Linked DNA regions of Xenopus tropicalis. The protein of the gene in region 1 interacts with the protein of each later gene in a pairwise test. Links are inferred from orthologs where the notes say so. Each region holds a gene or a part of one and is shown in the gene's direction. Other genes may lie near its edges.

Evidence for each region.
Region 2: the proteins of casp10 (region 1) and riok3 interact in binary tests that used the Homo sapiens proteins (3 or more experiments, as listed by UniProt). The link is inferred for Xenopus tropicalis from reciprocal best matches to the Homo sapiens genes CASP10 and RIOK3.

The regions. Positions count from the first base shown.
Region 1 is NC_030685.2:53,954,973-53,958,623, reverse strand, and holds part of casp10 (caspase-10), read left to right. Parts: intron 1-754; 5' UTR 755-794; coding exon 795-1,090; intron 1,091-2,773; coding exon 2,774-2,824; intron 2,825-3,651. UniProt on the Homo sapiens protein: Involved in the activation cascade of caspases responsible for apoptosis execution. Recruited to both Fas- and TNFR-1 receptors in a FADD dependent manner. May participate in the granzyme B apoptotic pathways.
Region 2 is NC_030682.2:109,055,288-109,059,504, forward strand, and holds the start of riok3 (serine/threonine-protein kinase RIO3), read left to right. Parts: upstream 1-1,310; 5' UTR 1,311-1,604; coding exon 1,605-1,643; intron 1,644-3,727; coding exon 3,728-3,849; intron 3,850-4,217.

The DNA.
Region 1 (3,651 bases):
TAGTGTAACCTTGCCCTCTGGAGCGAGGCATCAGCCTGAAGGGGAGCTGGGTTTCGTTGTGCATGTTGCTGAGACTGGGGTGGGGTGTAGTGGATGGCTGATGAGGGCAGGGCTGATAAAGTGCACAGCAGCACATAATGGTTGTAAGGCATGCATAAACACAGTTACTTATACATTTCACAAGAGCAAAATGTTGTAGTTTATTAAAAAAAAAAAGTATTGTATTATGCTAATAACATATATAACATATGAGGCACTTTTCAGTAGTCAGGGGCCACTGTGAGGTCTTGTGTGCTAACCCCATGAACTCCTCACCAACTCCAAATAATATTCACAGGCTATAAGCAAGTTCAACAGCATAACAAAAATGCACCAGCCCCCCCACCTTCGGAGAGGCCAGGAACACAGCTGCCTAGCTGCCCCCTCATCCCTCCGACTCACAGGTGCGAGCGCCCCTCTGCTGATAATTTCCAGGACTAGAGCGGCTGTAGAGGAAGAAGAACCCATGGTCTGGACCCTGATCTCTGCCACTGAACTGGTGTTTAAGGAAAATGGGCCAAAATGCGACATATAATGCTGAAACTCTGGCTTAAAATCTGAGAAATGTTTACTTTAAAATATAGTATAAAATGAAGGGCCTTCAAAAAAATGTCCTGGAAGGATCCAGGAAAACAAAAATGGGGGGTTTGACTGTATATTAATTTACTAAATTTACTAAAACTGAATCTTTATATTTCTATATCTCTTTTGTTAGGTGGAGCTGACACTTACCCTGCACCTCTGCACTTTCTAAGATGGATTTCAATTCTATGCTTCTAAGTATTGATGATGGATTAGGACGAGAAGATATAGAGGCTTTAAAATTTCTCTGCAGGGATGTCCTCAGGAAAAATAAATTGTTGTCTGTACGGTCTGGCCAGGAACTTTTTCAGCAACTCATGACCGAAGATTTAATAAATGAGGACAATTTTTTTCTGTTAAAGGAACTTTTATACATTATTAATCACCACAGCCTCCTCCGTAATCTTGGCACAAATAAAGAGAAAGTGCAGAAAGCTCTTCCACGCCAGGGGAGAATATCACCTTATAGGTATGATGTCCTCTATTTCATATGGATTATATTATAAAACTAACAGATCAGGAAAAATAGTACACTAATAGGTTAAATTAAATTTTTAATTCATTATCCCGGTGGGCCCAGGTCCACCCCCTGCTGGCTTGAACTTGTGCCTTATAAAATAGATGCAACATGATGTGTGTGTGTGCGTGCATGTATGTATGGGGAGCTTGCTGTAAGTCCAACCTTGGGTACACTTATTATGGAGTGCTCCACTAGTATCCTGGGCTGGTACAATTTTCAGCAACATGGGGCTCCTGCCTGGGGACTCAAATAAGTGATTATCAGTGGGGGTAATGTTTGGTTACATTAACTGTGAATGTTCCAGATAAAACACTTTCTTTTTCATGCAGGTTTTAATCACACTAGGGATTTGCAATTGGTCTTTATTTTTTTTAAAAATTTGTTTTGGTAGTATCCCGGGCTAGTGCAGTTTTCAGCAAACTGGAGCATCTTTCTGAGGTCTCAGATAAGTCTTAGTCAGTGTGGGGTGCTTAACAAATTGCCACTCCCCAGTGATTGTTCTGCTTTTTAATAATTTGTTAAGTCAACTGAGCTTTATCAGTAGTTACTAGTAAAAAACATGATGTTCCAGATTAAATAATTTCTTTTAAATGCAGGTTTGAATCATTCTGGTGATTGGTAATTCGTCTTCGTTTTTCAATTTCTTGTTGTGTATTAATTATTTATTTTTTCCGCAGCTCCCCAGTATAGAATTTCGAATGTTATATGGTTGCACGGTTCTCTATTAATCTAGCAACCAAGAAGTGGTTAAAAAGATTGGAAAATGGTTAGAAGAGAGTCTGAATAGGCAGATAAGCAATAAAAAGTAACAATAATTATAAAACTTACGCTTTAAAAGGGCAAAAGGGGCATCTGCCCAGGGCCCATTGACTGTGCCACTTTTATTTTCTTGCTATCCCCCTGGCCCTAAGATATGTGACAAGTGTAACCCCCCTTACCACACCGGGTATTTACCAGCCAGCACACATATATAAAAGACATGCATATGCTAGAGTGTAACGGTTGACACGTGACAACGCACTGTAGGCAGTGCTTGTGGTTTTCAGCAACTATATGCTGTGACATAGCCAGGCCTGCTGGTGTGCAGCCTCAAAGGAGATATATGGGATAACTTAAACCCCCTCCAATCTTGTAGCAATAATGTATAATTTATGGTGCTGGTTTCACTTTGGTCTAACAAATTAATATTGTCTTTAAAAATGGCCCCTTTATTGGAGCTCCCTATAGATCTGCTACGGTCCCTGTCCCAAATAAGGGGTGGGTGGTCCCTGTCAGAAGCACAATAGTATGGTCTGCACAGCCCTGCAGTCACACAAGCAAAGACAGGCTTCAGTTCCCTCTCAGGTCAGTCTAACTGCTGATTGGTTCCTATCCTACAGTGTAAATGCCACCATTCCCCCCCCCCCCCTGCACAGCCTAGGAAAGGAGAGTGCATGAAGTGGAACAGTTGGGCAAGACTACCAGGGTTTTTGCAGATTTTTTTTACTAAACACAACTATTTAAAGTACATTCCTTTTATATTTAAAGGAGAAGGAAATTTAAATCACTAATAAATGTACTGGCCCAGGATATTTCTGCAGATAAAACTTGTCGCCATCTTCTTCGGAATGTTCCCTCTTCTTTTCATTCCAGTTGTGGCAGGCACATGCGCAGTAAAGGGAAAGCCGAACTTAGAAAGAAAAGGTAAGACTCTTTGACTGTAATGCGCATGCCCGTGCTCCGGTGAAAAGAAGAGAAGGACAAATTATTGTGCAGAAATACCCCAGTCTGGTGCAGTTTTCTGCTAACAGGGTTAGTATCAGGTAAGCTATTACAATCACTGCCTACTCCCTAGTGATTTAGACTTTCCCTCTCCTTTAACCCTTTAAGTGCCACACAACATACTATCTGGGTTTGGGAGCGGAGGAGCACTTGTTCCGTTCCTTCCCCAGCCCCTAGGCAACGAGTAGAGGTGGGGAACAAATGGCCCCTGGGGCATGATCACCCAGGGGCCCCTAGGCAACAGCAAGCACGTGGTTACTATGTGCCTGCTGTTGCTTGCACTTTCTACCCACCCCCCCCAGTGCGAATACTCATAGAATCTGCAGGAAAGATGGCTCCTCCTGTTCCTGGGTTCCTCCTGTGAATCTCTAGCCTGCTTCTCTAGCCTCCCCAGGTTAATGTCACATACACATGCAAACACACACTTACTACACTAATACACACTTATACTTACACGCACATATACATTTTGGGGGGATTTAACACATTCACAGCACTCACACTTAGGGGCTAATTTACTTATTTACGAACGCCCCGACCGTTCGCTCGATCGGTCCAATCATATTTTCCGCGACTTTTTCGTACCTTGCATGACTTTTTCGGCGCTTGTGCGACTTTTTCGTATTTTCAGTGCGAAAAAATTGGATTGGATTTGCCGCTGTTTACAATAGTTCGGTACGAAAATTTTGTGACTTTCGGATCACAATACGATATTATCATGACTAATACGATTTTTTCGGAAGCATTTT
Region 2 (4,217 bases), on another chromosome or scaffold:
GCCCCAATTATAGCATTTAACTGCCCACATTAGAGCAGAAGTCGCAGCCTGCAACACCCTTGTTTCGTACGATATTCGGTACGTGTATGGCAAGTTGGCGAGTCGCAGGCTGCTGATAAAAAGATTTTGATCGGGCGCCATAGAAGGCGCCTGAGCAAAATCTGCCGTCAGGGCTGAATCGGCAGAAGGAGGTAGATATCCTTTTGTTTGTACCTCCTTATCTGCCATTTCAGCCCTGAAGGTTAGTGGCGGATCTGAGGATCTTTCGTGCGACCATCGCAGATCGCCACTTTGTGTGGCCACTTTTAGAGTCAGGAGTGTAATGAACTGACTAAACTGAGTGAATATTTGTATCGGCGTTGAACTGTAAGACGGGAAGCAATGCAAAAGCTGAATATCAATGCCTGCCCAGATATTAGGGGGGATAAAAAAAATAGCTGAAGGGTAGTATGTTGAATAAGCCTTATTTATGCTTTCATTAAAAAAGCAAGGAGCTTCCCAGTGAGCTCGGCTCTTGTATATATATATATATATATATAGTGAGCGGAACTGCTACCTGGAAGGTTTCTTTATTACAATAATTATGATAATGGAAGCATAAATAAGGATTCTTCAACCTAGTACCCTCCAGTTACTATCAGGTGTAGTACAACAACAGCCCTTAAGTAGCAAGTTCTTCAGCCCTAAACCAAACCCTGCAAGCTTAATTACTACTACACCAATCTCTAAATGATCAAATCTCACCTTATTTGTGAAGTACGAAGACAAATAAAAGCAGCAGAAGGTGAGACCCACCGCTGGTCCCCTAAAATACATCTGTCACCGCATACCCTCCGGAGCTGCCGCCACTTGAACATGAACTTGGCTTGGCTGAGAACTACACTACAGCACTCAACTGGGAGCAGCCATGACACAGACACGTCGCTCACTCGCTTCTCCAATAGCAACACACTGTCACTTTCCGCGCCCCGCCCCTTTACGGAGGATTGACAGGTTAGCAGTGCCACGCTGCTTGCGCAACAATCATTGTCATTTATTTATGTAGGCCCTTCTGGTTGTTAAGTGAGGTAAGGAATATACGTATGACAGCATCAGTAATACATGTTATCTCTTCTAATACATCAGATACTTCATGCCTTTAGCTCAACCTAAGTCACCACCTATTCAGTGTTTCGCAGCCAATCAGAAAGCCGCATATCTCCTCCCGCCCATTGATTACAGTTCGACGCGCAGTTCCGCCCAGTTACTGGGTGAAGTCATATCCCCCAAGATGCATTGCTTCAGCCTAGATCCGCAGCGGCCATCGAGTAGAGAGCAGGTTCTCAGGAGCTGGTGCTGATTCTTCTTAACTGTCACTCGCAGCCTAACCTTCCGCTTTTCATTATAAAATATAGGTAGCTGTATTATTAATATCAAGACTAGTGTAGCTCTGCGAGAATTAACTTTCTTTTTCAGTGTCAGCCGCACTGAGACAAGTCCGGGCACGTTCCGAGGCGACACAGACCTCATATAGTCATAGTGACAGTCTGCTCCGAGCTCCTCCTCCTCTACTTACTGAGCCCGACATTCTCTCCCCCGGCACCCATACTAGGCTGAATGAGAAGATGGATCAAGGTGGAATCATCGCACCCGAAACCCGGCCGGTAAGTTGTACAGGCTCTTTCTATACCCCCTCGCCCACTGCTGTAAACGACTCATAGCAGGGTTGTTAGGGAATTCTGGGAGTTGTAGTTAGGTAACAGCTGTAGGGAAGTAGTTAATGTAGTCGTTCATGTGTCCTTTTACTAGTTTACTATACTAGCACTAAACCCTATGCCTTCTAGGGGGCGGGGTCAGATAAGGTTAATTAGGATATATATATGTGTGTGTGTGTGTATATATGTTTGTATGTGTGTATATATGTATATATATATATGTGTGTGTGTGTGTGTATATGTATATGTGTGTATATATATATATATATAATGTATACACACTCACCGCAGTAAGTAAAGTGATATGATATCCAGTGTTTCCATTTAAAGAAGTTTCAAGTTTATTGTCATATACAAATAACAATGAAGCATCATTACTGTAATGAAATTTTTTAACCGTGTTCTTCCCAACTTGACATAGACAAAAAAAAATACAAATATTAAATATAATAAAAGTGTGCAATAAAGGTACAAGTACAAGGAGGCTTGCACACATGGTTTTCATTTCCCATTTACTTAGCTGAGTTATGGGATATATATTTACTCATCATGGTGGTTGAAAGAAACCTGATTACCTAGTGCCAATACATGTTAGAGGCTTTTCTATGGAGACCTACAGACTGTTACTCTCTCACTATTAGTGAATTTCCTGGGGTCACATGGGTACAACAAAGTCCATAGACTTCCAGCCCATTATATTATTTACAGTAGGCTGTAAATGTACATACTCCACTGTCCAGTAAATAAGTATGACTAAGCACTTCTGTAACAAATGTAATTCTCTGTATATGTGGGTATTTTGTGTTTATTTGTATAGGGCTACTTATGTATGCAGCACTGTATGCATTGCAAGCGCCCAACAACCGCACTAACTGTTCAGTGTCCTGATAGGTCAGGTTTGTCAGCCGGTACTGGAGCCATTGCTTTATGGCCTGTGATTTACTTTGTCTTTGCACGAAAGTTTGAGCTGATGCTATAAATATACATTGGGAAATACTCTGTGAGTCAGCAGTGACACATTTAGATGACTGTATAATCTTCTGTTCTGTGATATCACCTAATTATATAGCTTAGAGATCGCACGTACATCGTTGTTGCCAATGGAAGGCCAGATTACATGTCACAGAGGGGAAACTTATTGACCAGAGTGACACTGCTACCCTTTATTCTCCCTAGTCTGGTGTCATGGGGGGCTATTCATTTCAATTTGGGTAGCTTTATTCATTCATGTGCAGCAAAATGTAAGGTATGTCAGTTTGTATCTGTGGCTTTTTCTCTGTTTAAAATCTGTGGTATTTTTATTTATTGGATTTATTGGTTTTAAAGGCGCAAATAAGAAAAGCCTAATTCATGTAGGAAAACAAAATGACGAAAATATGGATTTTTCTTAAAGAAGAAAGAAAGCCTAATTTATTGGTGTTCAAAATGTTAGGCACGCCTAGTGAATTAAGTTTCTCCCTAGTCCAGTGCACTCCCTTTTACTTCACTCTCCCAGTCATCCCTTGTGAACTCTAGAAAGTTCCCTGGGCTGGTTCATTTATAAAACTCTAATAGATTATTGTGTTTTACCTTTATTCCCTTCTCCTGAATTGAGGATAGTTTGTTCCAGTTGGGGATATTGAGCTCTGTTTAAACAAAATCCTCCCTTTCCTAAGATGAGGCCTTTGTCAGAAATTGAGATATGAAATAGCTTTTCATACAGTGGGCTCCTTGAGACGTAATTTGTTTACCTACTTATAGTTATAGACAAGCGACAGTTGCTCACAAAAACAAAAGAAAGTTTGAAAGTGGTTTAAATTCCTGTTTTTGCCTTGTTTAGTGTTAGACATAATGGAAAACTAAATTTTTCCTAGTTAAAAAAATATGAAAAAATATGTTCAGCACAAGCGCTGTATATTGAGCTTGTGGAAAAAGAGGGTCCATCTCCCCTTTAATAAACATATAAACAAATAATATAATTCCTTCATTAATATCCATCCCAAAAAAGATGAAGTGTGGAATAATGTAATATTGCCTATTAATTGTATTGTTAGAGCCCCTGGGGTGTTGCTGCAAAGCCTGCAGTTCAGTGCTCCCTGGCGGAGGTCATGAGTGAGGAGCTGGCAAGGGAACTCCAACTGGAAGAAGAGAGCCATGTTTTCCCAGAGGAGGTTCTGTAAGTAACACTGTAAATACAATCCAAATCATTACACTGTTTAGTATTCAGGTTGTCGGTATATTTGCAGCAAATGAAAGTTGTACATGAAAGATAAAACATATGAAGAATGATTTAAGTAGAAATATTGCACTTTAACCCTTTTAACATACTAAGAAAAATGTAAAGGGTTTTCAGTTATGAAGAAAGACTGGCCAAGCTAGAGTTGTTTACACAGGAGAAGCAGTGATTAAGGGGTGATATGCTAACTATGTTTCAATATATAAGGGGATTATATATAATCTCTCTAATTGTTTTAATTACCAGTAGGTCCTTCCAGCAGACAAAAGGGCACCCATTCCGATTAGAAGAAAGGAGGTTCCATTTGA